2 linked regions of the Lepisosteus oculatus genome follow. The protein of the gene in region 1 interacts with the protein of each later gene in a pairwise test. Links are inferred from orthologs where the notes say so. Each region holds a gene or a part of one and is shown on either strand. Other genes may lie near its edges. The genes, in order: rabenosyn-5 and ehd3.

The links.
Region 2: the proteins of rabenosyn-5 (region 1) and ehd3 interact in binary tests that used the Homo sapiens proteins (3 or more experiments, as listed by UniProt). The link is inferred for Lepisosteus oculatus from reciprocal best matches to the Homo sapiens genes RBSN and EHD3.

What each region holds. Positions count from the first base shown.
Region 1 is NC_090699.1:55,414,121-55,431,047, forward strand, and holds the start of rabenosyn-5, read right to left. Parts: upstream 8,536-16,927; 5' UTR 8,430-8,535; intron 6,171-8,429; 5' UTR 6,008-6,170; coding exon 5,845-6,007; intron 4,623-5,844; coding exon 4,488-4,622; intron 3,185-4,487; coding exon 3,084-3,184; intron 2,498-3,083; coding exon 2,452-2,497; intron 2,366-2,451; coding exon 2,204-2,365; intron 1,080-2,203; coding exon 835-1,079; intron 366-834; coding exon 295-365; intron 144-294; coding exon 57-143; intron 1-56. UniProt on the Homo sapiens protein: Rab4/Rab5 effector protein acting in early endocytic membrane fusion and membrane trafficking of recycling endosomes. Required for endosome fusion either homotypically or with clathrin coated vesicles.
Region 2 is NC_090697.1:18,386,146-18,402,319, reverse strand, and holds the start of ehd3 (EH domain-containing protein 3), read left to right. Parts: upstream 1-8,122; 5' UTR 8,123-8,226; exon of another isoform or gene 8,227-8,456; 5' UTR 8,457-8,576; coding exon of another isoform or gene 8,577-8,584; 5' UTR 8,585-8,789; coding exon 8,790-9,016; intron 9,017-13,262; coding exon 13,263-13,439; intron 13,440-16,174. UniProt on the Homo sapiens protein: ATP- and membrane-binding protein that controls membrane reorganization/tubulation upon ATP hydrolysis. In vitro causes tubulation of endocytic membranes. Binding to phosphatidic acid induces its membrane tubulation activity.

The sequences.
Region 1 (16,927 bases):
ATAATAAAGTTAGTTAATATCCAGTCATCCGAAAAGTATTTTCTTGTGGGTTATACCTTAGTGCATCTATCAGCTCATAGTACTTCTGGACCTCCAGCCTGAGGCCATTGGCATGCTCTAAATTGTAGGTTGTCTCCCCAGCACTGAAAGTAAATAAAGGGATAAATTGGCAAAAAGAAAAATCATTAGTAAAAATGATTATTGTGGCTTAAGTGCTTGAAAACCAATATTGTTCTTCAAAGCACCGGCTACTATACTTTGGATTGTGTTATAAATCATCCAGATATTACTTACTTTAATGATTCTGCCATTTTTATATACTCAGGAGCCTTCTGATCCACTTTCTCAATGCAAATTCTCAGTTTCTAGAAAAAAGAGGAGGAAAAAATTTAGCAGTAGATAGAAATCATTCTCACGATCGTTCTGAAAATATGCTGTCACTTCTCATTACATTGATTTCAGAAATGCATCTGGCAGTGAATAATGATATGGTTAACAAATAATACCACTCGTAATAACTGGATAAGGAGTGATATTAGCTCAAGCTAAAGTTATTTCAGTCTTCACAGATCTTTCACAGTGACAGGAAATGGAAGCTGGAAGCACAGCACGAGCTAAGTCTTCTGTTTGTTCTGCATTCAAACCTTGGAAGTGCGATCACTGAGAAAAGGCTCACAGTGTGACCCGCAAAACCACCCGGAAGCAAATTCAGGGGTGGTCACAGACGTCATATGGTGTTATCAGTGGGATTTGAACCCATGCCTCCAAAAAAAAGACCAGACCACTTGTGTACAGTACGTCACAGAACAAAGAGAGACCAGACCGCTATTGTACCTCATAGAGCTTGACGATATCGGGCACGTGGTCCTTCTCTTCCAGCTTCTGCTGGCGCTTCAGAAGCACGTCCATGCAGTGGCGACAGCAACGGATACGGTCTTCGTCCTTCTCCTCCAGCACCGAGCTCACGCTACTCAGGCTGCTGATGCTTCCACGGCGGGAGCTCTGCACGCTGACACTGGATGACTGGCCGGGGCTACCTGGGGCACACAGGGCCTCCCTGGTGCCGCTTGTTAGCTTGTCTGACATGGGAAAAGCACCACAGCTCTAACCAACAACCAACAACTTCCACCTCAGCCTTCATCAGCTTGAATACAAGCATCTGGTAAAATAATAACCCCCCCCATCATTCAGAGAAAACCAAACAGCATGTGCCTTCTCTAATTTTCTCTGATCTGTTTGGTGGTTGAGAAATAATTAAGCAAAGTATTTGTTTAAAAAAAAGAACTAAAATGAGACACAAACTAATGTTTATATGATTGTATCCAGGTGGTTCCAAAGCCTGTGCACACTTAAATACTAACACTAACAAACCCTAATGTACTCAGAAATGGACCTTTTATATACAGTATGCATACCTATTTTCATTAAATAATCCTCCCCTGATGAGCCGGCATTCTAAACCAAAGCAAAAAGGAGATAACTACATGCATGTGCTCCAATACAAAAACAGTAGCAAATTGGGGGTTTATAGATTCATTAAATATTTATTTTCCTTGAATTCTCTGATCATTAATTCTGAGTTCCATCAGTTCCTAATACATTACAGATTTCAGTTCATCATTGAAGAATAAACTTATTCCAATATCTCTTTCTCCTACTTTTTCTTTCTTTTAAAGTCTTTTGTTCTTAGTTGTACTGGTCTTGTAAGTACGGTCTTTGTTGTATGATCTGGCAGGCCAGCTCTACAAAACATCCTTGTGCTCTCCACTCAAATGGGATTATACTACTTCATTTCTGCAAAAGCGCTCTGACAGATATTTTCCTGCTCTATCCAGCAATTCTGATTTAACCCACCATCAGAGCACTTAAATAATCAATGCAGTCACCCAAGATGAGGGAAAAGTGGCGTACACATCCAAAATATACCTGATACTTAATATTAGTTAGAACAAACAGTACAATATCTTTCTTCAAAGAACTGTGGGGGTTTAGTACAGATCCACACATTTTGTGCAGTCTGATCCTAAAATATCCTGTAAGGATTTTCAAAAGCAGAATTAAATACAATCTAAGCAACCTCAATGGACCAGCATATCTCTTCTCATATCTCTCTTTGCTATGTGCAGACAACACAGCATACAATGTGAGCAGATGCCCACAGCCAGGCCACAGGTAGGGGCTTCCAGAAAAGGTGGTCACTCACGTGCCAGGGGTAGGGTTACAAACTCCATGCACTTCTTGCACATGATGGATCCACAGAGACGGCAGTGGTGGCGTCTGTTTCGAATGTTGAACTTGTTGCCACAGTCAGGGCAGAATGGCACATCTTGATCATTTACCCACGAAACAACAGACTTTTCAATTGCTAAAGAAGAGAATTATAATAACCAACAGTTAAAAAACAGGGCGACTGAATATATAATTTAAAAGACTGACGAGTCTTCTACTCACCTCTAATTGTGGCAGCATCTGCATTGGTCCTATCGAATGATGTTAACTAATAGTGAGAAGGAAATACAAGACTTATGTATTGCTTAACGAACACATTTTCACATTTGTCACTTCTCATTATATTGATATCATAAATGTAATTCTTAGGGAAGAAAGCAGATCTGTACAAACTAGATAAGTACATGTAAAACTGTGACTGTGATAGTTCATCCTTTAGTGTATTGTATCACATAGTGTACTGTATCGGCTACACTGAAACACCAAGAATTAAAATCTACACCTGGATGAGCCGTCAAAGACATAATGGTTTACATACAGTATAAACATACTTTTTAAAATATTTTAATTTGTAGCATCTAGATATAATTCATTATTCACAACACAGAGATTGAAAGTTAAAAATGTCTCTGTGCTATAAAAGTGTGTTGATGAAATGTTGTATTTTATCTACCTAGTTTATCTGATGACCCATGAAATTGAAAGTTTGTTAGTCTAACAATAGGCATGAAACAAATTAAGTACAGAACTTGTTTTCGTTTGAGCTACACATCAGAGAATCTCTACAACAACTTTCAGTATTTTATCTCAGGAATGTCAGCAAACCCCTTTACAATGAGTGAAATACCACTCACCTTTTCCAATCTGATTATTAATTTATTTACTTCAATAACGTAGTGGTCAATTCGTGCAGCTCTGTGTTTCTTGAAGCTTTCTAGGTGACATCTGGTTGCACCTAGACATGGGGAAAAAGTATGTTGGCTGAATTATAATGCACTTTATATGGTATAAATGGACAGATCCATTCCTCTAGGATAACCCTAACCCTGGTACTGAGGAAACACAGTCTGCTGGTTTCCATGCCAGTTGACCTCTCAGCTGGTTTTCACTGCCAGGTAATGACTTAATTGATCAGCTTGCTTGTTTAGACTTTTATCAGATTTGTTTCTCCTGTCAATCCTGAGTGTCAAGAATTCTCTACTGCAAAGGGTGCTGTTTCCAACTTCAGCATGCAGAGTTTAGAGTCCCTCCTCAACGGGCTTGCTGTTATTTCTGACTAAACAGCTCTTTTACTTGTTCGTCACTTGATGATGAAAAGACACAGGTGGGAATGACAATGTATAAGACATACTCTGTATCAGGAGTGAAGTCCAATTGGTTATATTCAGTGGGAAAATACAGGTAGAGGGTTGACACCAATTGTAGATCCCATTTGATCTTTAATGATCCGAAAGCAAAGTTATAAACATGCCGCAAATAGAAAACTGAACTCCATTAGCTAGTGTTTTAAGGACAATTAAAACAGAGCAAAAAATGACACAGTGTTCCTCCAGGACCACTGAGAACCACTGATCTAGGGCTACAGGGTTCTCTGGTCTTACCTACACAACTATCTGATTATTTAGATAAAAACAGCTTGTTTTGTATGAATTACTAATGAAAAAGTAACAACGAAATGTGCAGGGCTCCAGCAAATGAAAGACTTCTACTTTTACACTTGTGAACCATCATAAGGTTATCTGCTTGGCAAGTAATTCACAACAACCGCAAACACAATAGTGAAATCTGTATTTGCAGCCTAATTTTTTATTAAACTATATGTAATGTAACCATCACCCACAAGTATTAAAACACATAAAGTGTTTATAAAAGAACCTAAATTCTACAAGTAAAAATACTGAATTTATCTCTGTAGTCCACCTGTGCCCGGTGGTTAAATAGTCATTAAATACAGTGATCGAATGGTTCAAGCATTTTTCCTTTTAAAAATTCATTTCGACTAACAACCTCATTGACTTATTTTGAAGCATCATCAAACTGAGTTAATCGATTCAAACCGTCACTCTCCTTTTTGCAGCGATATTTCTTTTTGCAAAATTCCTCACCCACTATTAGTGCTATATGGAGGCATGCATTTTAGTTGCACTGGCAAGTGCTTCATATGATTTGTATATTTTCCCGTTTTAATACATATTTTGAACAGGTCAGCTATACAGATACTGACCGCAGGGCCTTAGTTACCAGTGTTTCAGTCTTACCCAGTTCTTGGGGTTCCCACATATATGGATCAACTCCTCCATAGTAGAAAGACTCATAGCTCCCAGATTCAGCTCGGTCTTCCCCATCCCGCTTCAGGAGCTTGTCTTTGGCTTTCTTGGCTTTCTGCACCAGACCTTACAGGAGAGGAGAGACACCCGGAGGATTGCTTTGTTGTTACACACCTTGACGAGATGGCTGACCCCAGCTGATTTTACTGAGCTTTGTTCAATCGACATTTCAGTCAGGAGTCCTTCATTAGATAAGAGAAAGTAGCAGAAATGCCATGAATGAAGGTATAAATGGCTGAGTGAGAAAACAGTGTGAGAATTGAATAAAATAGGGAAACCCAGGCAGCAAATAAGCCTGAAATGCATGGAGGCTGTTGTCATCCAAGGATGTCTCTCTTATTATGTTTAAAATAGTCATGAAGCCACGCCTTCACTTCACCCCTGTCTCAACATGGCAACATCCAGACCTACGTCCTGCTTCCAGAAACCCTGAACTTGCATATGCTGAAGAACCAGAAGGCAGGGCTTAAACCAGATCCGAAATGAAATGGATCGACTAGTCTTTAAACAGCCCAAACTACTGCAAATTATTTTCTTCTGTCTGAACGCACAACAGACCCAAAAAAGTAATAAGTAATGTTTGATCAGGACACACGCTAAAAAAAGTCTGGCATTAGCTTGTTTGAGCAGGACACCTGCTTATAAAAGTTTGACATTAGCTCCTCTCTCACAAAAAGAAAAAAGATCAACTGCAACCTCAGCTGGAGAAGAAAAAACAAATGTTGAGGATTAATTAATAAAAATTCCTTACACTTACATAGTGCTTGACAGATAATAGGGACTCCATTACCACCAATATGTAGCCCCCACCTGGATGATGCAACAGCAGCCAAAGTGTGCTGGTACACTCACCACACATCAGCTATCAGTGGGGAGGAGAATAGAGTGATGAAGCCCCATAGATGGGGATTATGAGGCCATGAATGGTAAAGACCAAGGATATTTGCCCAAGACACAAGTGTACATCCTGAGATTTTTAATCACACAGAGTGTCGGGAACATGGTTTTACATCTCATCCAAAGGACAGTGCCTTTTTTATTTATTTTTTTACAGTGTCCCCATCACTATAATGGGGAATTAGGAGCCACACACACTGTAGGGTAAGCACCCCTTACTGGTCCCACTTACACCACTTCCAGCAGCAACCTTAGTTTTTCCCAGGAGGTCTCCCATCCAGGTACTGGCCAGACTTACACCTGCTCAGCTTCAGTGAGTTGTCAGTTATGAGTTGCAGGGTGATAGAGCTCCTAGCCTAACCTAACATAAGGTTTTAAAGCTAGCTCTTACTTTTTATCTGTCCCTTGACGTCCCTGTCTTCCCCAGAGTGCTCGTCCTCATAGTGTGCCTGGAGCTGGTAGAAGGACTGCAGGTCCTTCAGGCACAGCGGACAGAGAAAGCCTTCCCTCACCTCCCCCTGTTCCTCGAACGGAGGTGGGTAGCTGGATGCCATTTTTGAAATGCGGGCTGCTGGTAGACAAAAGCTGTGGAGAAACGGAACTGCTGGTGCCAGAGAGAGGCTCTCCCAGAGCAATATGGCTGCCTCATAGTGCTCCAAGCCGGAGGAAAACTTTAGCCTTTAGGTCTTCCATGGCCATAAGCCACCCACATAGAACCTAAAAAAACATCAAAACATTCAGTAAAAATAACCTACATTTTCTTTATGAGCTACTGCATTCATGATTTTCTTACTTTTAAAATATTCAATATTTTACAGTGTGGGTGATAAGCACAGGACAGGTCGAATGAAGAACTTGTGTTGGGACAGTGTAAAAATGCTTTAAAATCAGAATTCAATAAGGCATTCAACAATCAGACAGCACTGTCCTGCTTAGACAGCAGTTTCATTTTTGCAACATTAAGTATTAAAACAGAAACAAATGCTTCTATGCATTACATTTTCCAATTGGGAGTTTTCCAATTGTTCTCCAAGTGGGAGTGTGAGTCATTTACTTCCTGCATTGCACTTCCATTATGGAATTATATCAGGAAACCTTAAATGGATAAACCAGTCAAGAAAGCATGTTTTTAACAGTAAATACAAATAGTTAGTTTTCAGCTTGTGACTATGATGTAACTAGAATCACAGACATTTCACTACCACTGCAATAATTCAGTATTAATATTTTTTCAGTACTGCTGTATCCAACTAAAAGTAAATAATGAGATCGAAGTAAATAATTGTTTTAGCAAAAATGTGAAACTCTTAAAACATGATACAGAAATGGTTTATACACAAAAGTAACATTTCACTGAGCTGTTTACCATGAAAATAAATGACAACAAGAACTCTTTAATATAGAGTATTAAAATAGTTTAAACATACAGGACACAGAAGTTTGAGAAGTTCTATGGATACCTGAAAAAAACTAATTCTGACTGTGTCAGGCACTGTGGAGCCTGAAGTTCACTCAATTAATGAGTAAGGATTGGTAAAGGATTTGTTGCCAATAGCCAAGTTTTTTTTTAATTGGTAATTAAAAATTGGGATGTTGTATTATAAACACTAATTGGCAATTCCAGATTAAAAACAAATCAAGGCAATGGTTTAGAAATACACCACACAACTCTTGGTCTGTTTTCTCCTAATCTGCTTGATTTAATAGCACTATAAAGTCTTCCTTATCTTCATCACAGACTAGAAAAAAGAGACAGCTGCTCTTAATTTAACATTGTCCCTGTTATATTTAATCCCTTGGGCCTGCAATCAGAAATCAGAGCTGCAGGCTTCAGCACATATTAAAAGGGTGCAATATACTAAATTCACTAACAGCAGCGGGGAACAGTATACTAGAACAGAAAAGGTCGTACAGATGTTAAAAGCCTCAGCTGAGTTTCTCATAATGAAACGCTTGTAAGGTCCACACCTCTCAATGGCTTCTTAATGGCCTTCTTTTGACGGGAAACGCAGGCGTGTAGGCACACCCAAAGAAATTAAAACAATTTAATGTTTATTCTATCAGCTGAAGTGTTCAGTGTTTTAACTCAAAACAGCATGTCAATACTGTTTTAAAATTTGAAAATGCAAAAAGAAAAACCATTTAGCGAAAAGCGCTACACAAAACCGTTATAATCACGAAAGGCCAGGACGGCTGCTCCAAACGAGCACAATTTGAAGGAGGTAGCAGGAGGCTTGATTCGTACTCTTCGGTCAGTTACCGAGAGGCATGGGGTGGCCGATTGGATTTGTTTCACTTGGTGAATACTTCACAATATCGCCTCCTTAAAGAGTCGTGCAAATCTTCTGTAACCCTCAACACAACATGGTTATTCTCTGTGTGAAATAAGGCTTGAAGGCTTAAAAAATGGAGACGAACAAGACAAGTAAGTAGTCCTTGACTGTCGATTACAATAAGGACGTGTTCACGGATGTCTTGGGATCCGCTGTTTCTTAAGCGTTTTGTTTTAATCACTATACTTTTAGATGATTTTATACTCACTCACTAAAACCACAAAAACAATCTAAAGATCTATTATCAACCCTCACGAAGCATTTCGCGTGGCATGTTTAAAAGCATATAATCATTAATGTTTTGGGTCTATAGTAACATTAAATATATATGACAAAGACAAACTCTTGATGGGATTTAATCAAGTTTCATTTACAAAATGTTATTGGTTAATCGTGTAACAGAAACAAACACTGTGTTGCAAACGCAGTAATTAAAGAGACATAATCGGTCTAGTTTCAGCATCAGAATACCTGAAAAATTAATCAAACCGATAAGGAAAACCTTAGTGTTCTTTCGCTGAACTGGATCTGTTACTACACAATGCAGAAATCACACAACAGAAAATAACCCGATCCAGGCGAGAAAAGCAATCATCCGTCGTACATACAAAACGGATCAAGTAATCGAGGCGCTAATACTCACAAATCACGCTGTGTAGATCTTTTTTACTGATAGTACAGTATATTTTGACAGGTGCCGATCGCTGGCTACATAGAATACACTCTCCACAGGTGAAAGGTTACCCACGGCCCTGCCAGTCACATGACGTGCCACGTGATTACAGTGCAGCGCAGTGTAGCGGATAGGAAGGCAAAGAGGACATACAGCACTAAAACATATTTTCTGGGGTCTTCTGTTGCATGTGGATTAACAGTTGATCTACATATCATGTATGACTTCTTTCAGAAGGAATGTTTGCATTAGAATACATCTGCTTACCAACAATTCTTGTTGGTAAGCAAATTATACATGGCATTTTTTTTATATATTTATTTTTTATTTTAGTCTGAAAAATTCATCATCAATTGCTGTGTGGCTCAGTGGCACAGTGGTTTGTATTGCTGCCTCACAGTGTTGGGACCCTGGGTTCAATTCCAGACTTGGGGAGCTATCTGTGTGGAATTTGTACTGTATGTTCTCGCCAGGTTCATGTGAATTTCCTCTGGGGTGCTCCATTTTCCTCCCACAGACCAAAGACATACTGATAGACTAACCGGATTCTGGGAAAACTGGCCCTGGTGTGAGTGTGAACGTGCACATGGGTCTGTGTGTACCTTGAGATGGACTTGCATCCCGCTCAGGGGGCATCCTGACTTACACCCCTTGTTTTCCAGATAGTGTCCAGAAACCCTGTATTGGATACAGCAGTGAGACAATTGATGGATGAATATTTGATGTGACCAGTTCATTCATTACCAGCTTGTCCCAGCTCTTCATTTGTCAGCCTGCAGAACCAGGATTAAAGAACCCTGGTCTAGACACATTGGCAAAACTAGAGGGAAACAAAAAATCTACTACACAACACGTGCCTGAACAGATATCACATTTGTTATTATTGTTTGTTATCACTCCTCCTTTTTTCTTGTATTATTGTTATTTTGGTTATCCTAAAATTTATCACTGCAGATAGAACTCACCAGTGTGTGTTTTGTCTTTTGACTTTTTTCAATTTTTTAAAAACCCCTGTTAGCCTTTTTTATTGTTTTTTTTCTTTTCCACTTTAAGAGCATAAGAAAGGTTGCAACCAAGAGGAGACTATTCAGTACATCTAGCTTTGTCTGGTTGTTTGAGAATCTCATCTAGCCATTTCTTGCAAGCAGCTAAGGGCAGGGACTTGAGTTGTTTAAGATTATGCTAAAATGTGGAGACTGTGGACCAGAAGCTGCTACTCTTCCTTTTTTTTAAATGAAAGTCCTGCTTAATCCAGTGTCTTTAAATCTTGTTTTGTACTTTATTTAGTTGGAACCTTGGCTCATCTCATGCTGAGTCATCCTTTCCTGTTTTTTCCAGCTAAGGCTTCTGGGAGATGCTTCATTTGGTCCAGGTTAAAAACTTCTTCCTCCTTTGTGCTCATCAGTGCTGCCATCTGGAGTCTCCCTCTTTAGGAATTTAAACCAGCAACCTTCCAGCCACAGGTGCAGATCCTTAGCCAGAGTGCCACCGATAATATGGGAAATCAAAAGTTGGCCTGTGTTATAGTTTTTGTTAAGTGTTGATTGCAGCTGGTCTTATACAACCTTGCATTATACACATTTTGTTATACTCATAATGAAGGTTGACTTGACAACTGCGTCTCTGTCTGTCCAATTTAATTGGAAGTCTTATTCCAATTAAAAACCCTTTATTTCTTCTTTAAATGAAATTTTGTGTTTATTGAGCATTAAAATTGATTTTCTATTGTGAGTGTTGTTTTCTCGTCTCACACCTGAAACACTGCCTTCTTGTCGAAGACGGTTCCTGCTGAAGTCAGCCTGCAAATCTCTACTAATGAGGAGTGCAAAATCATAACAATGTGAGTTCTTCACGGAATATAAAAGGATTTGTATTTTGCACTGTTCGTATTAAGCAAACTTATCGCTTTGTGCAGCATGATGCATTGTGGAAATTTCTTTCCACAGAAGTACAACCAAGAGAGGCGTCATGTCTCACTGACACTCAGAACCTAAGTTTTCCACGGAACAAGTCCACAGCAATTCTGACAGGGCAGAGTAATGAAGAGAGCGTTTTGTTAATGAAATGGATAATGCTGGGTTTACTCTATATGTGGTTGGGAGGGTAAGAGGTTGTTGATGAAACCCTCTGTGAAGGTGGGGAGAACAAAACAAACTTCACGCAGGCAAGAGCCTCCAACTGGATTTCAAATGGAATGAAGTTAAGGATCCTGGAGCTGTGGCAGTGGTACTAACCACTGTGTTAGCCGAGCTGGAACAAATCAATAAAACTCCTGATGAATTGAACAGTATTCCGTCATACAGTACGTGCTGATCTTGTGGGTTCTGCATGATACTTTCTCCATTTATTTTTATACACTTACACAGACCCAAGATTCTGAATTTGACTGGGTTTGTCCTGAAAAGTTTAGAGTTGTAATCTAAGAATAAATCCTCTATCTAACCTGCACTCATTGTTTGGATTTGGAAATACAATTATGGTTAGAAAGGAACGATACATTTTGGTCTTAACTGAAAATGGCTGCTTTCCAAAGGCTTCTTGAGGAGATACACTTTAACTAGTTTACACTTTATAAATGCGCCTTTTAAAAACTGGAAATCCAAAGGAGACTTGTTGAAATGGTCTGTGGCTGAGAAAATATGAGCAGCTGGAAACATTATTGGAGCATCCCTTTCTTCCATTCATGTCATCTTTCACAAACACTGTATGCACAAGGCTTCCAGTATAGTAGATGACCCCCCCCACCCCCACCCCTCCCATAAATTCTTTGCTCTCCTACCATCTGGAAGAAGATATTGCAGTATACGGGCTCGCTCCACCAGATTCTGTAACAGCTTTTTCCCACAGGCTGTTAGGCTTCTCAACACCTGGGTACTTACTTGCACCCACTCCAATTCCAGAAACAAGGTTTAAAATCCCCCCAGTGTTTAGTGTATATTGTGTGATGTATTGTTTTATACTATTCTGCAACAGTTAAATTACACCATGTATATAACCTGTGTACATGGCCACTGTCTTAGTTTGCACAATCGTATGTATTAATATTAGCATTGCTAGTCCTGTCTACATTGTCCATGTCAGTGTCTTATCTGTAATTGCACCGTGGACCAGGAGGAATGATATTTTGTATACTGTATACACTGTATACTTATATATGGCTGGAATGACAAACTTGAACTTGATCTCTGTCTATATAACCTATATAAACTCTTCTTCAACCACTGGGTGGCAGCATTGGTTCAAGTTGCAAAAGGCTGCCACTGTGAAGCACCACTGAGGTGTATATACGTGAGCTGGTGGAATTTAAAAAGCCCCATCAATCATTTTAGACCCCAGACCAATTTCCGCTTTTCTGTCCTGAAGACCAGCAATAGGTGGTAATAATATAATTTTTGTTTGGCAAGGCAAATGATACTTGGCATTTTTAGAGTTTTCATGGTATTTGATCTGCGTGCTTAGGATAAGACAGCAAAGCAACAGAATTCAAAACTATGCTTCTGAAATTGCATTGAGCTTGTAAGGAATAATGTTAAACTACTGAATGCTATCATTTGTGGCTTTGTACTAAGAAGAAACTGTTGGAACTTTTGTTAACTGAAGATAGAGCTTTTCAGATACCATGTATCTGATGTACAAGATGTCATCATTCTTTTTGTCTTAAATATCATATCATAATAATTGCTGCCAGGAAGCATAGTAGTACAGTCATTAGCATTGCTGCCTCACAGTGCTGGTTTGATTAATGACCTGGGGTGCTATCTGTGTCAAGTTTGTATGTTCTCCCAGTGTTTGCATGTTTCCTCCCAGTGTCCAAAGACATACTGGTAGGTTAATTGGCTTCTGGGAATATTGCTCTTAGTGTGAGTATGTGCATGTCTGCGTGTGCCCAGCAATGGGCTGGTGTCCCATCCAGGGTGTATCCTGCCTTGTGCCCATTGCTTACAGGATAGGCAACCCTGAATTGGATGAAGCAGTTAGAAAATGGGTGGATGGATAAACGCTGACTGGTTTTGTTAGGAGAAACATTTGTTCTGTACATTCAGAATGGCAATAAATATTTTCAACACTCAGTCATGTTATTTGTCTTTGATGAAATGGTTAGAAAGACAAGAACAGAGATATGATTTATCTGCAACATCTTCGAATACACAGTAACTAGACAATATTTGTAAATCTCCTATTTAGTGCTTTCATATATGATCCTGATTGAAGCTTGCATTGAGTTGAATTCTGTTAAAGTGCTTTCAATACAACATCTTTGTTGCTACTATGTTTATATGAAATAGTGTTCTATGAATTTTAGGGGGAATAGAATGTTTGTTTGGGAGCTTGAACATTGTGCATTAACAACTGTCTAGTCCTTAGTTGTACCTAGATTAGCAAAATGAATAGTAGTAAAAAACAAATAGTATGCAAAAGGTGAATGGTAGCAAAATTGAATTAATTCCATAGATATGGAACATAATTATTAATAGTGCAATATACGTTTTACTATCTGTTTTTTCACATGGTTCTCATTCAATTTTCAGATTTTATTTTCTGAAGTTAATGGAATGTTTTTTACTTTAATCTTTGATCCTGATTGTTTAAGTATCTTCAGAGCATGGTTTCCATATTCTGGAAGGTGCGATTAAAAAAACGCCAACAAGTAAATGTGAAATTAAAATTAATTGGATGCTATTTGCAATGCTCATTTAGAAAAGGGTAGTTGGAAATTAGCATAGAAAAGTCTCTCTCTCCTGAGGATTTGGAGGCAGGGGTGAGTAGCTTGTAAATGTATGCACCTGCCCACACTTCAGGCATCTCCCTGAAGAAATGATAAATTCTAAGTGGTTTGTCTTTCATTCTCTCCTCAGAGATATTGTGGAAGGTATGATACTCTAAATTTTCAGTGGATGAGGCATAGGCTGAGGAAAACTTTATCCAGTTTGCTAAAGGCTTACCTACAGTACAAAGCTTATGTATATACATGAGAGTAGAATAAAGACTGATATTCCAAACAATTTGTAATATATCATGTTTTGGTTAACATCTAACAAGTACTGCGATTGCCTAAGGCTATGGATTAGTTTTAAGTTAATCAAACGTCATTTTCCAAAAGTCCAAAACTTGGAATGGAATAAAGATGCTGGCAGTGAATGGTTAATAACCACCTTCAATACATTGTCCACCTTCAGGCTATAAGACAAGAAAATTACCTCCTGTTTAACCAGTACCTTTGCTTTAATTATAATCCTTCAGTATGTCAGGAGTGGAGACTACAATGTCCTGATTGGTGTGTCTAGTACAGATGCTTCGTGTTTTCTATACACTGCTTTGCAGTATTAAATTGGAAGGAGAGCACTGTATGCCTAATAACATGCAATTAGTTTTGATTTACATAGACAGAGAGGTGCAGTAGTTGCTCATCTGATTTAGCTGCAGACCTTTCATATAATATTGGGAGGTGGTAATTTTCAGCCTTCCACCACAATGTGAGTGAGTTTGTAGTTCAGTTTATTATTTATTTTGTTGCTTTTAAATATCCATTTAAGAAATTCACTAAGAAAGCAAAATGACAAAATATCCATTCGGAATACTGAAATTGTGTCTAGGAGATTTACAGTTTACTCTTTGGTGGACTCTAAGAGTTCCTTCATAGTATATAGAGTCTGTCAAAATTGCCTGTTGTTCATTAGAAAGCTGCTTTATGTCCAGCACAGACATACTGTATGCTCCAAGGAAAGAAGTATAGTATTCTTGGTCTCTGGATCTTGAAAAGAGATCCGGAAAATAAGTTAAACTCCAAAGTACTGCGTAAGGTAGGCTTCAGGAGTAGTTTATTTATAAGGTACTCAAGGATTGTCTCAGATAAGTTACTTTGAATTTTTCTGTCCCATTGTAAAGCATGGTTTATGAATTCAAAATCCAGAACAGTTCATTGTGTTTAAATCTTTGTGGTTGTGTGCTCTTGTGAAGGGATAATGATAGGCTCAATCGGGTAGTAGGTTTTTACTGTGTATCATAACAAATAGAAGGAATAATGTACTTTCATAAATGTTGATATCTTAGCAACCTTCCTGGAGAAATCGTATTTGCAAAAGCTGGCTCTAATGTTCCAGCCTTCCTTTATGGAAGTGCTCTTATATACATATAAATAAATCATGTATGGACCCATATGGTGAGGTGTTCCAGGGATATGAACTGGAAGTTGTAGGACTTTCTGCTGTAAATACTTTGAATTAATGTCCATATTAGACTTCCTAATCGTTTTAATAGATTTACCATCTTTTATTTTTCCCTGAAATGTCACCTTTTGAAATGTCAGGTTTTCATCTCTACATAATCTGCAAGTCCGTTCAAGTTCTTTGTCAATTCCATAAAGACATGTACAGTATTTATAGTATCCTATGAAAAATAGAAAAAAATGCCTTATAAGGGGTTGGTCCATCTCTAGCAGTGTTACAGCTGCAACATGTAATAGCATCAATTCTAAGAACATCTGATCTAGTAGAACTGGTCCAGAAGTCACAGAGGTACTCCAGGAACAATGTCTGAGAAGCAATGCACTGCCTAATTCACTGAGCTGTATGTGGAGATATACTGTAGGACCCTTCAACCAGCAGCAGATCACACAGCTTTGAAAGAGATGAGGGTAGTAGTTCAGTACCTTCAGGGAGCCTAAAGTGTCCGTACTGTTAATGTTTTCTTAGATTTGCCCACCACTACCCAAGAGCCCTTGAGGACGTATAGATTGACATGTTAGCCAGGTCTGCTGCTATCTTTAGCACTACATCAGAGATACAGTATCTGTACCAGCAGATATGCCTGTTGTGAAGTGACATACATCAGCCTTCTTTCCTTATCCCACTGAAGTAAAGGCATGGTCTTCTGCTACTTTTGTAAGATTCGTGGGATGTACTATATGGTGGGCCATTCCCACTTATTTGGACAGGATGGGTGACCCCTAATTCTAATATTTTGGAATACTGGGATACAATACTGTAGCTAATTAAAAGTACATTGAACACTAGAAATCTCCAGTTCCAGAACATTATTTTAGTATGAGAGAAATTGTTCCCTGAAACCAGGACTCAATCGATAAATACAGTACAGTGAAAATCCCTAAGTCTATTTGGTTATTACATGTTATCCTCATATCCTGTAATTGACTTGCTTATATTCTGCAGACTTGCTTAATAAGTTGTCAGCTGTCTGCCTTTGATGCTTCTCATACACAGCTGAGAACGCTAACATGACAGAAATAAAAGACTAAAGACTTCCATTTCTGGTGCAATTTTGTGGCAAAACACAAGTACAAAAGAACAAATAAGTGTATCTCAATAGCTAAGTTAGAAGCAGGTAAGAGAAACAGACTGTAGATGAGAAGTGCGGTGTTGTTTCTTTTTCTGTTGGCGTGGAAACTGATCTGCAGCTTGATTAGTCTGTGGTTTGGTAGATGAATTAAGTGCTTGACACTGAATTTGTATATTTAATGGTTCAGTGGTTTGTAAACTACAAAAAGCAATAGGATATTATTTACTAATAATTATTTACAATGTTTTGCAAACCTCACTGTTTGCTTACCTTACCTGACAATCATTGTAAAGAGCTTGGGTGGCAGATAAGAGATCTCCTATGCACTGACAGCACATCACAGTTAACATCTTACTAGCACCCTGCCTCCTACTACCTTACTAGAAATTGTGGGATACGCAAACTGCTTGTGTTAAATATTTTAAGTACAATCCTTGCCCGTTGGTGCTATTGTACAATCCCAAGCATACTAATTCATCTGAATTATATTTTGCACCACCATTTAATTGTAATTAAAGATTGACTACAACCCCTTTCAAGCTCATTCTTTATGTATTAAGTATTGTTACCAGAACAAATAGTAGGATAGACCAGCTGGAATCCAAACGTTCATTTTGCAGAACTCTGTGAAACAGCACAGTACATTATTATTTACACTGTCCATCATTAAGTTACATTAAAACATGTTTGAATGAATAGAATGATACTCGCTTTGTTTGGTGCAATTGACTCGCCTTACATTTAAGATCCTGTAAATAACGCAGCACCACTCGCCACACTTGGAAATCCTATAGTTCTTAGCATTACATTTTGATTACATTTACAAAGACACTGGAGAAATTCAAGTTCCATCTTTGCTTTTTTGCCTCCTCCATATCAATTATTTTGAATGGCTTATATGTTCAGAAATAAATCAAGATTCGGTAGGACAGAAGTCTTATTTCAGTCCCTGAAGTACCTTCCCTTCCGGGGGAGTGTGTTTCTGGAGTGGTCTTCCTGTCGTAGAGGGACTTGTGATTTCACTACTCCACATGCTGCACATAAACCTTTGAGACTGTCTTATTATTCTACTGGACATGTGCTTAGTAGAATAATAAGGGCTGCTAGAAGCTTTTAAAATTGATTCCTTGGCCTCACATTTGCCTTAGTACCACCATCACTCTTCTCTTAGT
Region 2 (16,174 bases), on another chromosome or scaffold:
CACAAATCTTTCTGTTTATCAATTATCCATCCATCTTCTAAACTCTTTGTCCAATACAGGGTCACAGAGGAGCCAGAACCTTTCCTGGAAAGAGAGGGCACGAGGCTGGATACAGGGCTAGATCTTGGTGTCTGTAGGCCCTTGGCACTTTCACTCCGAAATGTGCAAAAAGAGAGGTAAATGCCAATTGATTTACGTCGATTGACATGATACACTTTAAACTACTGTAATGCTAAATCACGCAATTGATGGAGCGAGTCGAGCGACCATCTCTTTGATACTTCTAGTTTCTAGAACAACCAATGATAGCATATGATTAGTAATTTAGAGCACCTAGAGTCGATGGCAGGCATGTTGTTTCAACTCATTTTTCGTTAGTCACTAGCGTTTCCCTCCTTCGTAGGCCCTAATAATTGCGTAGGCCCTAGGCACGGTGTCTACATTGTCTACTGGGAAAGCCGGCACTGGCTAGATACACCCTGGAGGGGACACCAGTCACACACACTCAGACCAGGGCCAGTTTTTCTTAGAATCCAATCAACCTAACAGTATGATTTTGGGCAATGGAAGGAAACCAGAACACCTGGAGGAAACCCTCACAAACACGGTCACAGTCACAGTTCTGTACGCAGAACTGTGACCCACTTTCCTGCCAGAACAAATTGTCCATCACACACTGCAGGCTCTGTAGTGACTTACAGAAGATTCAGCACTAACTGGAGGGGTGGTGCAGCTGTATATAGACAACACTGAAAGCTGGCACTTACCTCATTATCTCCAGGGGTTTCTGTTAAGGAGGATATCTTAGTGATTCAAACTCATCCAACACAGACAATCCAATTCTGAAACATCCTTTTCATTTTCAAATGCACTGAAGTCTTAATTGTGCTAGCCCGTTGGTTTACATGAAGAAGTCGTGGCTGTAGCATTTCCAGGAAGTCCAGGGCATCCTGGTTCAAAACTATTGTGTTTGTCTGGATTGAGAACTGGTTGATGGATAGGAAAGAGAGTGCAGGTGAGGAGTGAATGCTCTAATTGGAGTGATGTACAGTATGTAGTGGTGCACAGGAGGTCCCTGTTATACTGTACATCTCCCGACTTGTGTACTTACTGGCCGATGAATTATTTAACTCTACCAAACTTCTCTGTGCTTACATCATTCTTCAGCCAAAAAACAGCGAAGTAAGGGGTCTGTAGATGATTGTGTTCTGGAAATGAAATAAATATTGCTAAGACCTAAATCTAACATTAAAGTTTTTCTTCTAGATAATGCCGATGCCCATGACTTAGATTATGAATCATTATGCCCCAACATTAATGTTAAGGTTTTATTACTACAGTAGGAGTTTTGTGAAATTACTGGGACAATTTATTAATTGTAGCAGTAAACCACGAGGTGATTCTTTTATGGCTATTAGACAATCAATCATCAGGAACAGTCAGCAAGGCACACACATTAATTCAATACACAAGATATATTTATGAATACATAAATTGTACATATAAAACATATCACAGTCTGCCTGGATACAGATGGCAGATCTTACTGTGAGGGTTATCAAAATGGAAGGTACTGTATATAATCATGAAGAGATGCAAAACACAAAGAGATGCAAACAAGGAATATGCTTCAGTATACCATTCAGCAATACCATTTTGTTAATCAGTTTCATTAATACAACTTCTACATTAGATACTCAAAAGTAAATACATTACTCATATGAATTAAATTAAGATCAACACTTGTTGAGATATAATTGAATTCTTGATTGGCAATGTGGAATATTAGGTTACTTATCCAGATATGGATTGGTACTGTATTTCCCGATGCACAGACACAAAAGATCAGCTGGCAGCCTCTGTCTCTGCGGCAACATCCAATCAGCATTCATGCATTTGAAGTTATTGATGCCACCTTGGTCCATTGATTCTATCAGTGAGGTTGTGCCTAGTGTAGCAGCAATGCTTATAAATAAGACAGAATTACAGTAAGTGTTGCTGTGCTTTCCTAAATGAGGCCCCATCTTATTTTCAGAAAGGAGCAAAAAATCACTTGTCCTAAACTTGGCTTGTGCCCCAAAATCTGAGCATCTGAAGCCCTACTGGTCTCGGATTTTACCATGTTCCCCCAGCCAAAAAGTATGAGTGTGAAACAAACTAAAGAATTGATAAAACCTCTTGTAAATGTAGGAATTTTAAGCTCATCCCTGGATTTTGGGCCCAAATCAGCTTTATTTTTATTCTTTGGAAACTTTTCGGTGACTGGATAATGCGGTGCACCACTCGGTATTTGTATCCCAAAACTGAATCGGTCGGATCAAAAGTTGCAAGCAAACATTTTAGAATCTAAAATATTTGCTAGAGCTTTTAACACTGCTTTTGACTGTTTCACACCCATACTTTTTGGTTGGGGGAATATGTCAAAATCCGATGCCCGGAGGAATTCAGATATTGATTAAGGAATGACTCAGTTGACACCCCAGCTAGGGTTAAGGTTAGCATTCACACAGTACATAGACATCCGAAACAGGATCCGGAACAGGGACAGGGAATAAAATCAGGATGACGAGGCCAGATGCTCCAAGCCCTGGACTCAGATGGTCAGGCTGCTGTGATGAAGCCTATCCCGTTGGGTCTCTCCTGGACCCGCTTGTAGGCGGGCTTCTGGGCGTCCATCTCCCAATGGAACAGCGAGAGCGCCAGGCTTAAATGAGGAGACAGAACAGGGGGCAGGTACATGAAATCAACTAAAATACGAAAGGGCCAGAGTGCCCTTAAGAGGAGGGATTACGATTGTGACAGATGTGCAATGATTGGTTGAGAGTTTGGCGGGCATTTCAGACCCACGTGGGGTTACCACGCCCTGCAGGTTTCTGATTAGTTGTTTAAGGTGAGAATTGAGTAACAATGACTTGTGACATATATGGACCAAGGTGGCATCACTAACTTCCAATGCATGAAGTGTGTGTAGAAAAGAGCCCTACCCTGAAACAGCAATTGACTTGTTGGTTTTGGCTACAATTTGAAAGGAGTTAGTGACACTAATTGTCTGTTTCTAATTATTGTTTTTTATAAGGAATATATCTCAAGCTAATTACAAAATTCCATATGGATATTAATTTCCCTTTATAAGTCATATTGCTACTGTACAAATTATGTTATTTAAGAATGTAACCTGGACTATACTGTAACTTCACCCCCAGTACTGTATTTGGGTAGCTACAGTACAAGTGAAATACAGTCTAACTTTTGGTCACTAACCCAACTCTTCCATGAATCCCTATGGGGGAAGAGCCTCCCACTTTGAGTCACAAGAGAAAGGTTTACACTCTTACAGTCCTAAACCCTCCATTTTTATATTGTTTTTATGAGTTAAAATTCCCCTTTATACTGTACATCGTTTCACTATATAACATGACTTTCTGGTTCCAACATATATCAGCAACTGCCTGCATTAGGACCACTACCCTTTGTAATGCTTATCAATGATCTTGGCTGATATACAGTAGTTAGCAAACTAGGCAAGTTTGCCAAATGATACCAAAAGAAGATTCAGAAAAGCTGTAGAGGATGCAAACGGAATTAAAAAAAACATTCTAAAAATGTTCAGAGACATTTAGAGACATCATTAACCTTCAGAAGGTGGGAGGAAACTGAAATATTTGGAAAAAAAAGACAAGAACTTCCCATGGGGGAATATGTGAATGTCACACTGAAGGCACCCATGCCTGAAATTGAGCCCAGAACCCAAATTGCTGTGAGGAAGCATATAATAATTCCTGTTGGCTTTCTTGCTTCTTTCAGTTCAGCCATTGCCTGCCTTAAAATGTCAAGTGCGCTCCCCTAACACTGTATTACCCTACATGTCAGCTTCACTTTAATCAGATCTAGACACCAGGCTTCTAAAAAAAAGTATTGTACAGTATATTGGAGTATCATTACCATCAATTAGATGAGATTTTTCTAGATTTTTCTGAAAAAGGTTAGGCTTCAAAATTGAATGAAATGACAGGAATGAAAAGGAATGCCCAGTGTAAAGGGTGTTCATTTGAGTTGTACAGTAGGGTTGTCTAGTTCGCTTGCAGCCATATCACCCTGCAACTTACAATTGGCAGCCCACTGAAGCTAAGCAGGTGTGAGCCTGGTCAGTACCTGGATGAGAGACCTCCTGGGAAAAACTAGGGTTGCTGCTGGAAGAGGTGTTAGTGAAGCCAGAAGAGGGCGCTCACCCTGTGGTCCATGTGGGTCCTAATGCCCCAGTATTTACCAAAGATACCAAAGATTTGGTTCAAACCACCAAATGGAGATGGGCGTGCCGACAAGCGGACCCTGCTGATGCAGGATTAACGCTAGGATAAGAGAGTAGGGTTGTCTAGTTCCAACTACAATGTGCATCTAAGACAATAGAGCTCATAAACTATGTTTAAAGATAGAGAAAAAGATAAAGAAGTAGGTTATAAAAAATCACACAACTTTGAATTGTGTTTAAAATATGGGGAGTGTAATGATACAAGGTTGTACTTCTTAAACGCTGCCAAGAGCTGATAGTGGAGAATTATAATTAATATCTTACATGTTTTTTATCAAGTATGCAAAACACTGTAGATGACCAACTGTAAACTTGCAGTATTCCCAAACTCAATCTTCTAGGGTCTGGATTTTTCATTCAAGTACAAATTTTAACAAATTCTTATAATAAGTTGGACTAATTAGTGACTAATTAGTAGCAGGTTAATAGATTTTCTCAGGTGTTCATGTGCTGCTGATTTAAATATGTATACAACCTCCAGGGGCCTCTAGGGCTCTGGGTAGGGATTTGAAGGAGTTTGTAGGTTTTTTGAGCCAGGTCCTTCACCTGAATTGCTCCAGTACACTACCTACCTAAAACTGAAAATAGGAAGCACACATTTACCCATTGAATAATGGGAGTGTAGAGAACACTGAATAGCCCACACTTTGGTTTCGTTCAAGAAACAGCTGGATGAGATATATGAAACAATATGTTACTAACCACCACATGGGCCAAATAGCCTCCTCTTGTTTGTAACCTTTTATTATGTTTTAGGAGAGTTGAGAACCGCTGGCTTGAATTGTTCTTAAGTAGCTTTGCTGTTGGTGCCTCCTGGTGTTGAATTTTGTCTGGCAGTGTACTGCAGTGGGTTTATGGTAAATCTAAACACAGACACAGAAGGATAACACAAATAAATCTAATTGAGTCAGAGAGGGTACAAAGGTTAATGAATATCTGGGAAAGCCTTTTTAAGACAATTAACTATGTATTGTACCTTTTTAATGGCACAAACTGGAGCAAATAAGTGATCAAAACTTTCATTTCAGTGAAAAGTCAAGAAAATGCAAGAAAAAGCTTTTGATTACCTGGTCAGATGGTCACTACAAGGGTGAAGTCTGAGATCTCTTGCAGATTGCTGGCTGGTTCAGATTGATGGAAAATTGACCACTGAGTGAAGGCTCTGTGGAAGCAGTTAAGGTCTCTGGAGCTGTAAAAACAGAAGCAAGGTGCTGCTTTTCCTGTGTAAGACTGCCAGCGTTTGTGTTATTGTAGGGCCTGTGTGACATGTGCAAGCTGCCTGGGAGTAATGCAAATAATCGAAACAGTAGGAAACAAGTCCCACAAAATGCTGTCTCCTTCCAGCTTGATTTCATCACATCTTAGCAGCTAAGCAAGGCTGAGCCTTGTTATTATCTGGATGGGAGACCTCCAATGGACATTAGGTTGCCACTTTAAGTCATGTTGATGGATAGTAAAGTAGCACATATACCACAGGACCAGAATTTATAAAAACCAATGCTGCATTGAGGGGTTTTGGGTCACTTCCATTGAACTAAATTTTGAACTGTGGACCCAACATTAAAAACTATTGTTGCGGTTCTGGCTACCCATTAAGGATCCCATTGCACTGTATTTAAGAGTAGGGTTGCAACCCCAGGACCCTGGCTAAATTCCACACTGGGCTTGCACTTGGGTCTACCTAAAGCCCCCCATAATTTAATTGATTTGAAAAATGCTCATCATGCTGGTGCATAAAAGCCACAGCACATCACCCAGGTGTGGAATTGCACTACAGCGATGGATAAAGTGGGTCCCCACCTTTATGTAAGTGCTTTGTGATCCTTTAGGATGAAAAGTGATAAATAAATGCAGTTATTTATTATTAATTGATTGTGGCGTATATATAGCAAACTTTTATCTGAAGGTTCAAAGCTCTCCAGAAAATGAAGTATCATTGCTTGGCCACTGAATCAGACTAGCTTTCATTCTGTTAACAAAGGCTACTTGAAGTTTAATTTGAAGGTTGGTATGGTCACAATTTGACAAGGTACAGTATGTGCTGTGAGTGTCAGAGAAGCAGCACAGTACCCCATAGTGTTCCTTTAATTTTGGTGCTTAAGTATGGGGGAGCATCCTTTGGGATGTTTAACATCCCTACACATCTACACATCTGTGTGCATCTCTAGGGTGCACACTTTATATACTGTACTAGTCTTTTCTGTTGCAGTGTGAAACCATCGATCCAGGGGCTGAGTGTAACTGTTCCAGGAGTTCCTGAGGTCACCTAAGCTGTTTGAAGCTGTTTCAAGAAAAACAGGCCTTGAGATCATGGGAATTTACCCGGCTCTTGCATGCAGAGGAAATTAGCAAGGCCAAAGAAACCTTTTAGTTAAACTATTCAGCTGGTCTTTCCAAGTCCCATTGAACTTTCATCCCCATGCTTTTTTAACATTCCCAGCCTCTGGGAAAAGTTTCTGCTTTAGTTTACATTAAAGGCTCGCGCAGATCAACTGGTAGACACCTCCACGGATATATTTAATCTCTCCCTCACTCAATGCACTGTCCCCTGTTGCTTCAAGAAAACCACCATTTCAAATTCCTAGGTGTCAACATCACAGACGATCTAACCTGGACCCACCACACCAACCTCATAGCCAAGACAGCACGGCAGCGCCTATTCTTTCTCCGCAGACTAAAGAAGTTCGACATGCCTTCAAACATCCTTTCCAACTTCTACAGATGCACCACTGAAAGCATCCTAACCGGCTACATTACTGCCTGGTTTGGTATTGTAACTGCTCCACCAGGGAGTGCAAGGTACTCCAGAGGGTGGTGAAACTGGTTCAAAACACTACCCAGTGCGTGCTACTGAACATCAAGGATATTTACTCTGTTAGATGCCTCAAGAAAGCCAGGTCTTGGGGAAATCGGACTGTATATAAGGAGGCAGGTGGCGCGAGGTGGCCTCTTCCCTTCTGTGTCTTTGTTAGTGTAGATGCAGCGCTGTAACCCCTGTCCCTGTGTGTGGTAACCTTTCCCCGGTTCTGGTTAATAAATGTGTTGTTCAACCCCTTTTCCAGAGTTCTACGCCTGCTCCATTTCGTGCCGAGTCCCGCGGTCGTTACAATAATTATCAATGAGTAATGGAAACAGGTGACTTATGCCAGTTAATAACATAACTGATTCAACTACAATCGTTGAGATTCCAGAATATTTGGAATGAAAACGGAAGACATGATGGAGTGGGTATTAGTGATATAACATATCAGTGTCTAGTTTGATAAGTGTTGTTGTTCAGTTTCTTTGATAACAAGAAATACTGCAGGTTAATGTAAAACGAAAGTTTGGTGTGCTAAGAAATAATTTAATTCAGGGTTTTCCAATCCTAGTCATGTTTTATCCGTATATCTTCATTCCCAGTCAGCTATAGTTTAAAAACGAATACCTTAATGAGCTTGTTATTTTTTTAATCGATCACTTTAATCAATTATTCCAGATCTTCAAGTGCTGTTGTTTTGAATAGATCTGGAAAATATACAGACCGGCCATCCATGAGTAGGATCGGATAACAACGATTTCATTAAAAATGCCCGCTCTGAAGGCAACTTTCCACTGAACGTGTTTTTGAAATAGCCTTTGGTATCATTTAATTTAATGAAGTCACTATTACAACCGCCAGATGGAGCTATGTTTTAGTCATTGCCGCAAATACAAGTAAATGATTGTTTTCTAGGCGTTTCTATGACGTGCGGAGATAGTACCTCTTCCGCTAATATGGCGCTGACATCAGTGACTTCAGTCCTCTAGTGTCATGGGTGGGGCTTTGCCAGTAGTTGGGCATTTCCTGTACGATCATATTTCCAGAGGTCTGGTATTTAAATCAGCTGCAGTGAAGAAGCCGGGGAACCTGTGGTCGTCTGAGATTGTACAGAGCAGTAGGCATAGCGTCTTAATTATACATTTTTTTAAATTTATTATAGTCATTTACGTTTTTAAAGTTTTAAGTACACAATTCGAGGGGTCATAGTCGAAGGACACGTTTATTCCTGTAGTATTTCGAATGTAAGAAGATATGCTGTAAATATGACTTCTACTCGGATTCCTCTGCAGTTTGAATGAAATCTTGGGTTGTGCTTTTAATTCTCTATGTGTAACATTTTTACAGGAGACAGTGCGAGATCATCTCAAGATAAAGCTGAATGCATTTTGGCGATCTCGGCCTTTAAAGCAAAAAGCGGATTGTGGTTACCTGGAAAGAGAGGACGCTGTCAATGAAGAAATTTTGATGGCGAAGTATGTTCTGATTAAATACTAACACATTTGAAAAGCTTTTAAGAACGCCATCTGAAAAACAATTGCAAAGGAAGTATCTTTTTCTTTAAAGTGGGGGAACACTACGCAATTTAGTAACCACGCTGCGTGTTTTCAAAGAACACTCCAATTCTTTAAATTGCATAGATTACTGATAGTGTAAAGTTATCGATTACCGAATTGCATCATGTTCAGCTGGTTGGGTAATGATGACAGGAGGAAGAAGGACCCTGAAGTGTTTCAGACCGTGAGCGAGGGGCTGAAGAAGCTGTACAAGACGAAGCTGTTGCCCCTGGAAGAGCACTACAAATTTCACGAGTTCCATTCGCCGGCGCTGGAGGATGCCGATTTTGACAACAAACCAATGATACTGCTGGTGGGACAGTACTCCACTGGGAAGACCAGCTTCATTCGGTAAGTACAGGTATTTGCGTGTCCGCAATGAATATCGGACAGCAGGCGCTGCACACAAGATCGCTCTTGTTTGCCCATATCACATTACTGATTTTGTTCTTTTCATTGATACTAATCCAGTATTATTCAGCCGCAAAGTTAATTAGTTTTTATATTGTTCAGAGCATATTATAGCGGTAACATAAGAAGTGACCTTTTTCTTATTTGCCAACGTTATTGTAGACTTGTGTATATGAAGGGTAAGGCCCTCATTTAATAAAATGACTGATCATTCAGTGAGCAGATGTACAGTAATAAATACCTCAATAAGTCCAGACATTACACAGTATACTGCTGTGAAAACATTGCGTGACATAGAAATGAGTTGTCCCTCACCCAACTGTATTATGAAACGCAGCAACTCATTATTTTGCGAGCGTAAATTCAGTAATGAAAACAACCTGCTACTGCCGTATCTATGTCACAGTTCCCTTTAGAATACAGGTTCCTCCGCTTGTTAGTTTATGTATTTTAAATTTAATTAAGACCTGTATCAGATTTGACTGGCATTGTCCTTACATAAAGCTACAGTCTGAAGAAGCTCAGACTGCTACAGTGCAGTATGAGCTTCAGATTGTGAAATATGCAGGAGTCATATTTCAGATACCCCGGGAAAAGAACATCCTGGTGCTCATAAGCACAAGCCCATGATCTGTTGTAAATTTAAGATTTATGCTAGCTGCAGTTTCCCACATAGACTAACAAATGACCCAGTGACATGTGGTTCCCTTAACCCTGGTGTTCTATGTTATAACTTTATCTTTGAGGATTAAATGAGCTAGACCTTAATTGTCTGTGCTTTAGCCTGTGAGTGTGTCTGCTTAGGCATTTATACAGTATTAATGACATATTCAACTGCAGTCATGTGTGCATTAAATATCTCTTCACATGTTTGTTACTGATAATTGACTTTTAAAGGTTGGGCATTGTCACAGAAGCATCTTGTTTCTTACAAACGTCACCTGGATGAAACTTTGTAATTTGCACTGTTGGTTCAGCACACAAGCTAACAAGAATTCATCAGATTGACTGTTGTGCCAGTTTGCAGTATAGCTGTCTGCTGGTGTATTGTCAGATTGTTTGCAGTTAATTTTCTCAGATCATAACCAGAACTATGTTTACTTGTCTTTACTGTTTATTGTATGGCATTTACCATGCAGTCTTTTTTTGTATCCTTTTAAAATACCTGCCACTGATTGTTTATGGTCTGTGGAAAACATTCAGCTGTGAAATCAGTTTGAAAAACCAGAACCTAAGAACAGTTGGGATTATCCAAGTAAGTTTTGGCTCAAATAATGCCTAGACCTGCTTACTCCTTGAAAAAATACAGTGAAGTATCTCCATAGGTATTCTGGTTAAATTGGAAGGTATTTCGGCGACTGTAATTGGTAGTGCATGGTTTAGTTTGGTCCAGAGCAGTTGATTTTGAATAGCTGGAAGTTGAGTATTTGTCTCTTCTTGTACCATACATAATGGAAGCTTATTAACTGCTGAAGACCTAATAGGAAGTTCCTGCTAAACAGTGCCAGTGTTAGTGGGCCATCTTCTGCTTCCATTCTTAAGAGTTGTTAGAGCACAGGTTTGGGCAGGAAAGCTGCAAGTATTTGTTTAAATACAATGTCCAGGTGTAATTCCCAGCTTACTTATGGAATTCTCTCATCCTGTGAAAATACTTGGTTCCTCACAACTGCTGAGTTCCGAAATGTAAGCTTTATTATTTCTGATTATATTGTACATTTTTACCCCCTTCATCACACACTGCAGTGGAGATCAGCAGTTAGTGGATTATCCCTGTCAGATAAAAATATTCTGGGCAGCTGGCTTAGCAATTTGTAAATTTGGTAAAAACAAAAAGTTGTAAACCTTTATGTGCTGGCAAATACAATTAAAACTTCTGTGTTCTGTCCCATCTAGGCCAAGGAGGCACTAATAGTGGAGTAGAATGAGGTGCTTTTTCTTTTAGTCATCTGCAAATGTGATGGATCTGTGAATTTTGCAGTTTGCCTAAGTGTTAGTTCTGGGGAGTACTGTAAATGTAGTAGGATGTTTTATAGAACAAAGAAGATTGCATACTGGATAAAACCATTCCATAAGTATCGTCTTGCAAAATAGGACTTTCATTCAGTTTTCTCTATTATATTACTCATAGAAGAGGTTCCAGCTGCCTTAGTGCTATAGACATCATATGTACCAGTGATGTGATGTGCTTCTGGTTTTCTGGCCTCATTTAAGAGATGTGCTTAGTGATTGTTGGATAAGATAAGAGAGAGAGAACTTTATTAGCCATATAAAATTTCTTGCATTAGGAATTTGTTCACATACCCCAGCTTGCTCTCCATGAGATACACAGACAGGGAGAGAAGCTTGGGGTCAGAGCACAGGGTCAGCCATTTATACGGCACTCCTGGAGCAGTTGAGGTTAAGGGTCTTGCTCAGGGGCCCAACGGAGTAGGATTCCTCTGCCAGCCATGGGATTTGAACCGGCAACCTTCCAGTCACAGGTGCAGATCCTTAGCCACAGAGCCACCGCGCACTTTAGGAAGGAGCTCCAATATAACAAGTAGTTATATTATTTTAAATGTAAAAATACCAAAAAACATTTAAAAGGTGGGGAAATGTAAGAAATTTCTGAAATAAAAAAATAAAACTTTACATGGACTTATGTCAAGATGTTTGATTGTTTTCTGTTCTCCTGACTTTGCGGTAGTCATCAAAGTAATGTTTTGGAAAGGTTCAGCAGTTTCCAGTATGTGACGTCATTGTGGCTGTCAGGAATGACTTGCTGTGTAGAATCTTTATTGCTCAGCAGAGATTTCATCCAAGAAAAAAATCGTGTTCTCAAGTAACGACAAGCCGTGAGCTGGACTCCAGTGAAAGACGGACGGTGAGCAGGTGTCGGATCTTGTTAGCTATTCTACTGTCAGAACTGTGAATTTTTTAAAGTTTTAAACGCTATGCCAAGTTTGATAGGCATCTGACACTTAATAATATGGAGAACTTTGTCTTTGAAAACATGATTGCTTCTTCCCCAAAATAGGCAGAAGTGCTGGGGTTTCATCCTGAGCAATTCTTTTTATAATACATTTCTAGCTAAACATTGTTCATTGTTTCCCATGGCATACCATTTTTAAATGGAGCCTGGTAAATATGAAAAAATACCATTGAAAAAAGCTGCATGTCTCCTTTGTGGTTTATGAACCACCTTGTGTCTCCTAATATGGTATGGTTCATAAAGTACGTATGTGAACCAACCTTTTCATTGTTTAATAATTGCAGATTAATGTCCCAGCATTGATGTTTTGTTCTGGAAAGGTTTCGATAAAGAACAGGATAGGAATCATAATTCATGAAGTCTAAATAATGGTACTTGCTGTAGGTTTTGTGATCCAGTGGAATCAACTGTGATTGTTTTTCAGCACATAACCAATTCTGAATCATTTTGCTCAGTGAACAGTTCTGAGGCCTTGCTCTGCAGGTTATCAAATGCAAATGAAACAGAGGCAGAATATATATGTTATGTGGAGATAATAATAACATCACTTTATTAACACTTTACAATTTCTTGCATTAGGAATTATCTTTTCACATACCCCAACTTACTCTCCATGAGACACACAGACACACAGATGACTGCTTCAAGAACACTGCGCAGGGCACAAGTTGTATTGGCTTAATGTGCTTTCATCTTTAACCTTTATGTACAGTATATAGTCTTATAAGCATCAGTTTTTCTCACTTTGTGTTCTGTTTTGTGCTTCATTCTCCATGTATGTGATACATTGCGGTTTATGTCATAGGCAGGGCATTCACAGCTGGAGACAAAACTAGCCAATTTCAGGCCGAATGGCTCCGAACTGTGACTACTCAGCACACAAATGCTTTCAGGAGAAGATTTCACACATATACACTTCACATTTTAGAATAGTGTCACTCAATGAAGAATGAATTAAGTTAAATTGCCCATGATCCTCACCCCCAGTCCTTGGAATACGGCCTGTGAAATTGAGAGAAATTAATCTCTAACTTTTAACTGTTCTGTAGACTGAAGGTTATACTTAAGATTGAAATGAAGCACATGTTGAAGGAATCAAGCAAAGGCTGTAGACTAAGAAGATTAGATTGGTCAATCTTTTTCATTTAGATGAAAGATACAGCCCAGCGCTCAGGAAGATTTTTTTTCTCATTGCTTTTCTTTTTATTTGGAAAGGTACCTCTTGGAGCAGGACTTCCCTGGCATGCGAATTGGCCCGGAGCCCACAACCGACTCCTTTATTGCGGTAATGCATGGTGACGTGGAAGGGCTGATCCCTGGAAACGCGCTGGTGGTGGATCCGAAGAAGCCTTTCAGAAAGCTCAATGCATTCGGCAATGCTTTTCTCAATAGGTGAGTTGGAAAGCTTCTCATTTTTCAGGTATCTTGGCCTTGCTGTGTACCACATTGAAGAAAATCCAGCACTAAATTCAAAAGATTATTGAGGGCCAAAATAATAATCCAGATAAGAAAGGTGTAAAGGGATCATTCGCAATAGCTCAACTGTTTTGCAAAAGTCAGACATGTTTTCAGAATGTGGACATACAGCAAAGGTCCCTCAGTTGACATGCTGCTCCATCTTTTAATTTTTTTATCTAAATTTTTACTAAATGGTTTACTGGCAGGAGCTATGATTATACTTTGAAGTAAAGATCACAATCAAACATGTACATGTTGTAGTTTGAGCGGGGAACTGTGTCAGCTTTGTGCTGTGAAGGAACAAGTACAGTTTAATTCTGTGGTGAAAAGTAGAAAGAAGAAAAATCTTGTTTGGGTGTGTTCAGGTGACGGATCCTTTCTTTTACTTTTTCACATGATTTTAATCAGATTGTTGCTATGAGCATTTATCATGCACATACCTCCAAATACATCGGTTATGCCAAATGCAAAAATGTTCGAAACCATTTGTCAGAGGCTGCTTGTACAATGTTAGAATGAGCGTGCAGCATTTTTTTTTATTGTGCCATTTGTGGTTTAGGAAGTGTCATTTATCATCAGGATCAAAACCTCAAAAACTAATATGGTGTTTTAAAAACTTGCAGTGTTCAGTATTTACAGACTTTCACCAAAGATTCATTGTAGGATGATGACATTTCCAAACCACCAACTATTACAAGAATAGAGAATAGGGATGCTTTTATTTTTGTTCTTCCTCTTTCACTTTCCTTTAGGCACGTTTTAGAAAATCTTTGTGGATTATTTGGTAAAATGGCCGTTACTATAGATGCTGGAGACCCATATTGAAGTTGTCGTTTAAAAGAGTTTAGTTTAAATGAAGTCTGATAGCTCTAAACAACAAAACCTATGTATTGAGAGACATTACAGATGTTGAAGGCTATTTTTTAACTATTTTCTTTAGAAAAATTATTTGTAAAGAAACTGGCCTTTTGTATCGGTATGATATTAAAAAGCAGTGTGCATACATTAAAGTGTGTCAGTCCTTTTCAAATTTCTGTTTTGTTTCTTGAGTTCAGTTTCTATTTGCTACAACCAGTTTTCTTTTGTTAAGTAGTGTATTGTGATAATATGCTACTTTATCTCATTATTTAATTGTTATACTGGACAAGGTTTTGTCAGTGAGGCCATTTTCTTACCCCCTGGAGTTACTGAAGTTGTCTTACAGTCTCAGCTGTTGTTTGACAGGACCTTTCTATTTGTTATGCTCTTCCTTTCCAAGTTGCTTCAAAAGCGAAATTTATATTAAATGGAAAGGTTAGACTTAATACTTTTAGTCAGAGTGGGTGATTGAGAATGATCTGCAAGGTTTCAAAATAAAGCAAATTTACATAGAAGTTGACATCTTTGGAACAGTTAACAGATTTCTCCCTGGCAAAATTAAACATGACAGTACTTGTCATAATTTAATTTTTTGTCCCTTGTACACTACGCATTAAGCACATATAGCTCTTTAAACATGGGCTTATTTCTTATCCCAGAGTAGTAGAACTGCTGAATTTTAAAATTCCACACATTTTTCAAATACAAGCTACATAATCTATGTTGCAAAACTATATAATGTAATTTATGTTGCAGTGTTATATAATGTAGCCTGAAGTGCAGCAGGTGCAAAATATGGTGTTGGTTTTTAGGGCAACAGCCATGGATTCCCCTGCTATTTGATAGTGCTGGGCAACATATTTCCCATTTCTTTAACTTCTCAAACAAATGAATGCCTGAAACATTCACATCCACAGAAAATGACATTGTTAATTTTGACATATTGCGATGAAAACATTAATATGTAGCGTTTAGCATATACTGTAGCATTTCAGCTTTTGTTTATGGGTGGTGTTTTGCAGATGTTTACCAATGTCAGAACAATGTCTTATTCCCACCTTTTTAGGTGAGAGTAAATAATAAGAGACATGGCTACAAGTGTTTCTTATTGTTCAGATGTTCTATGTTGCACTAATTGTGAAAACATTAAACTGTGAATATATAGCCATGGTTCCAGTCTTTTGGAGCTCACAGTTTGGGTCTGCCTCTCAATCTGAAAGCCATAAATGAGATGAAGACTAGAGACTTGTCTATGACAGAAGACCAAGCGATAGTGACGATAAGAGCGAAGAAAATTCCAATTTGACCTGTTGCGAGAGATTGGGCATTTCTGTTGATTTTGTAAGGAATGTCTTGATGGGGGTCAGGTGGTGCAGTGTTTAGCATTGCTGCCTTGTAATCCTGGGGTCCTGTGTTCATTTCTGACCTGGGGTGTTATCTGCATGGAAAGAAAGAACTGTAGTACTACACAACTGGCAAAGCCCAGTTTGTTCAAGAAAGACAAACAGCAGTTCATATAGAAAAAAACCAAAATTAGAGCAAAAAGAGACTGTGCATAATCTCCCCAAAATCTCCTGATGTTCTATAGTTTTTATCTTTTATCTTTTATCATTTTATCTTTTGATCTGGAACACAGATTTCAATAGTACACAGCAAATATGACATTTCACTTCAGTGTCCCAATACACTTTTCACTGTACATCCAAATAAGCACAATCTCTGCAATAGATTCATATCATTATAATCAGGAAGTCTTTTTTTAATAGGGCCACTGACATTTTATTGAACTTGACATTGGTACTTTCATTCGA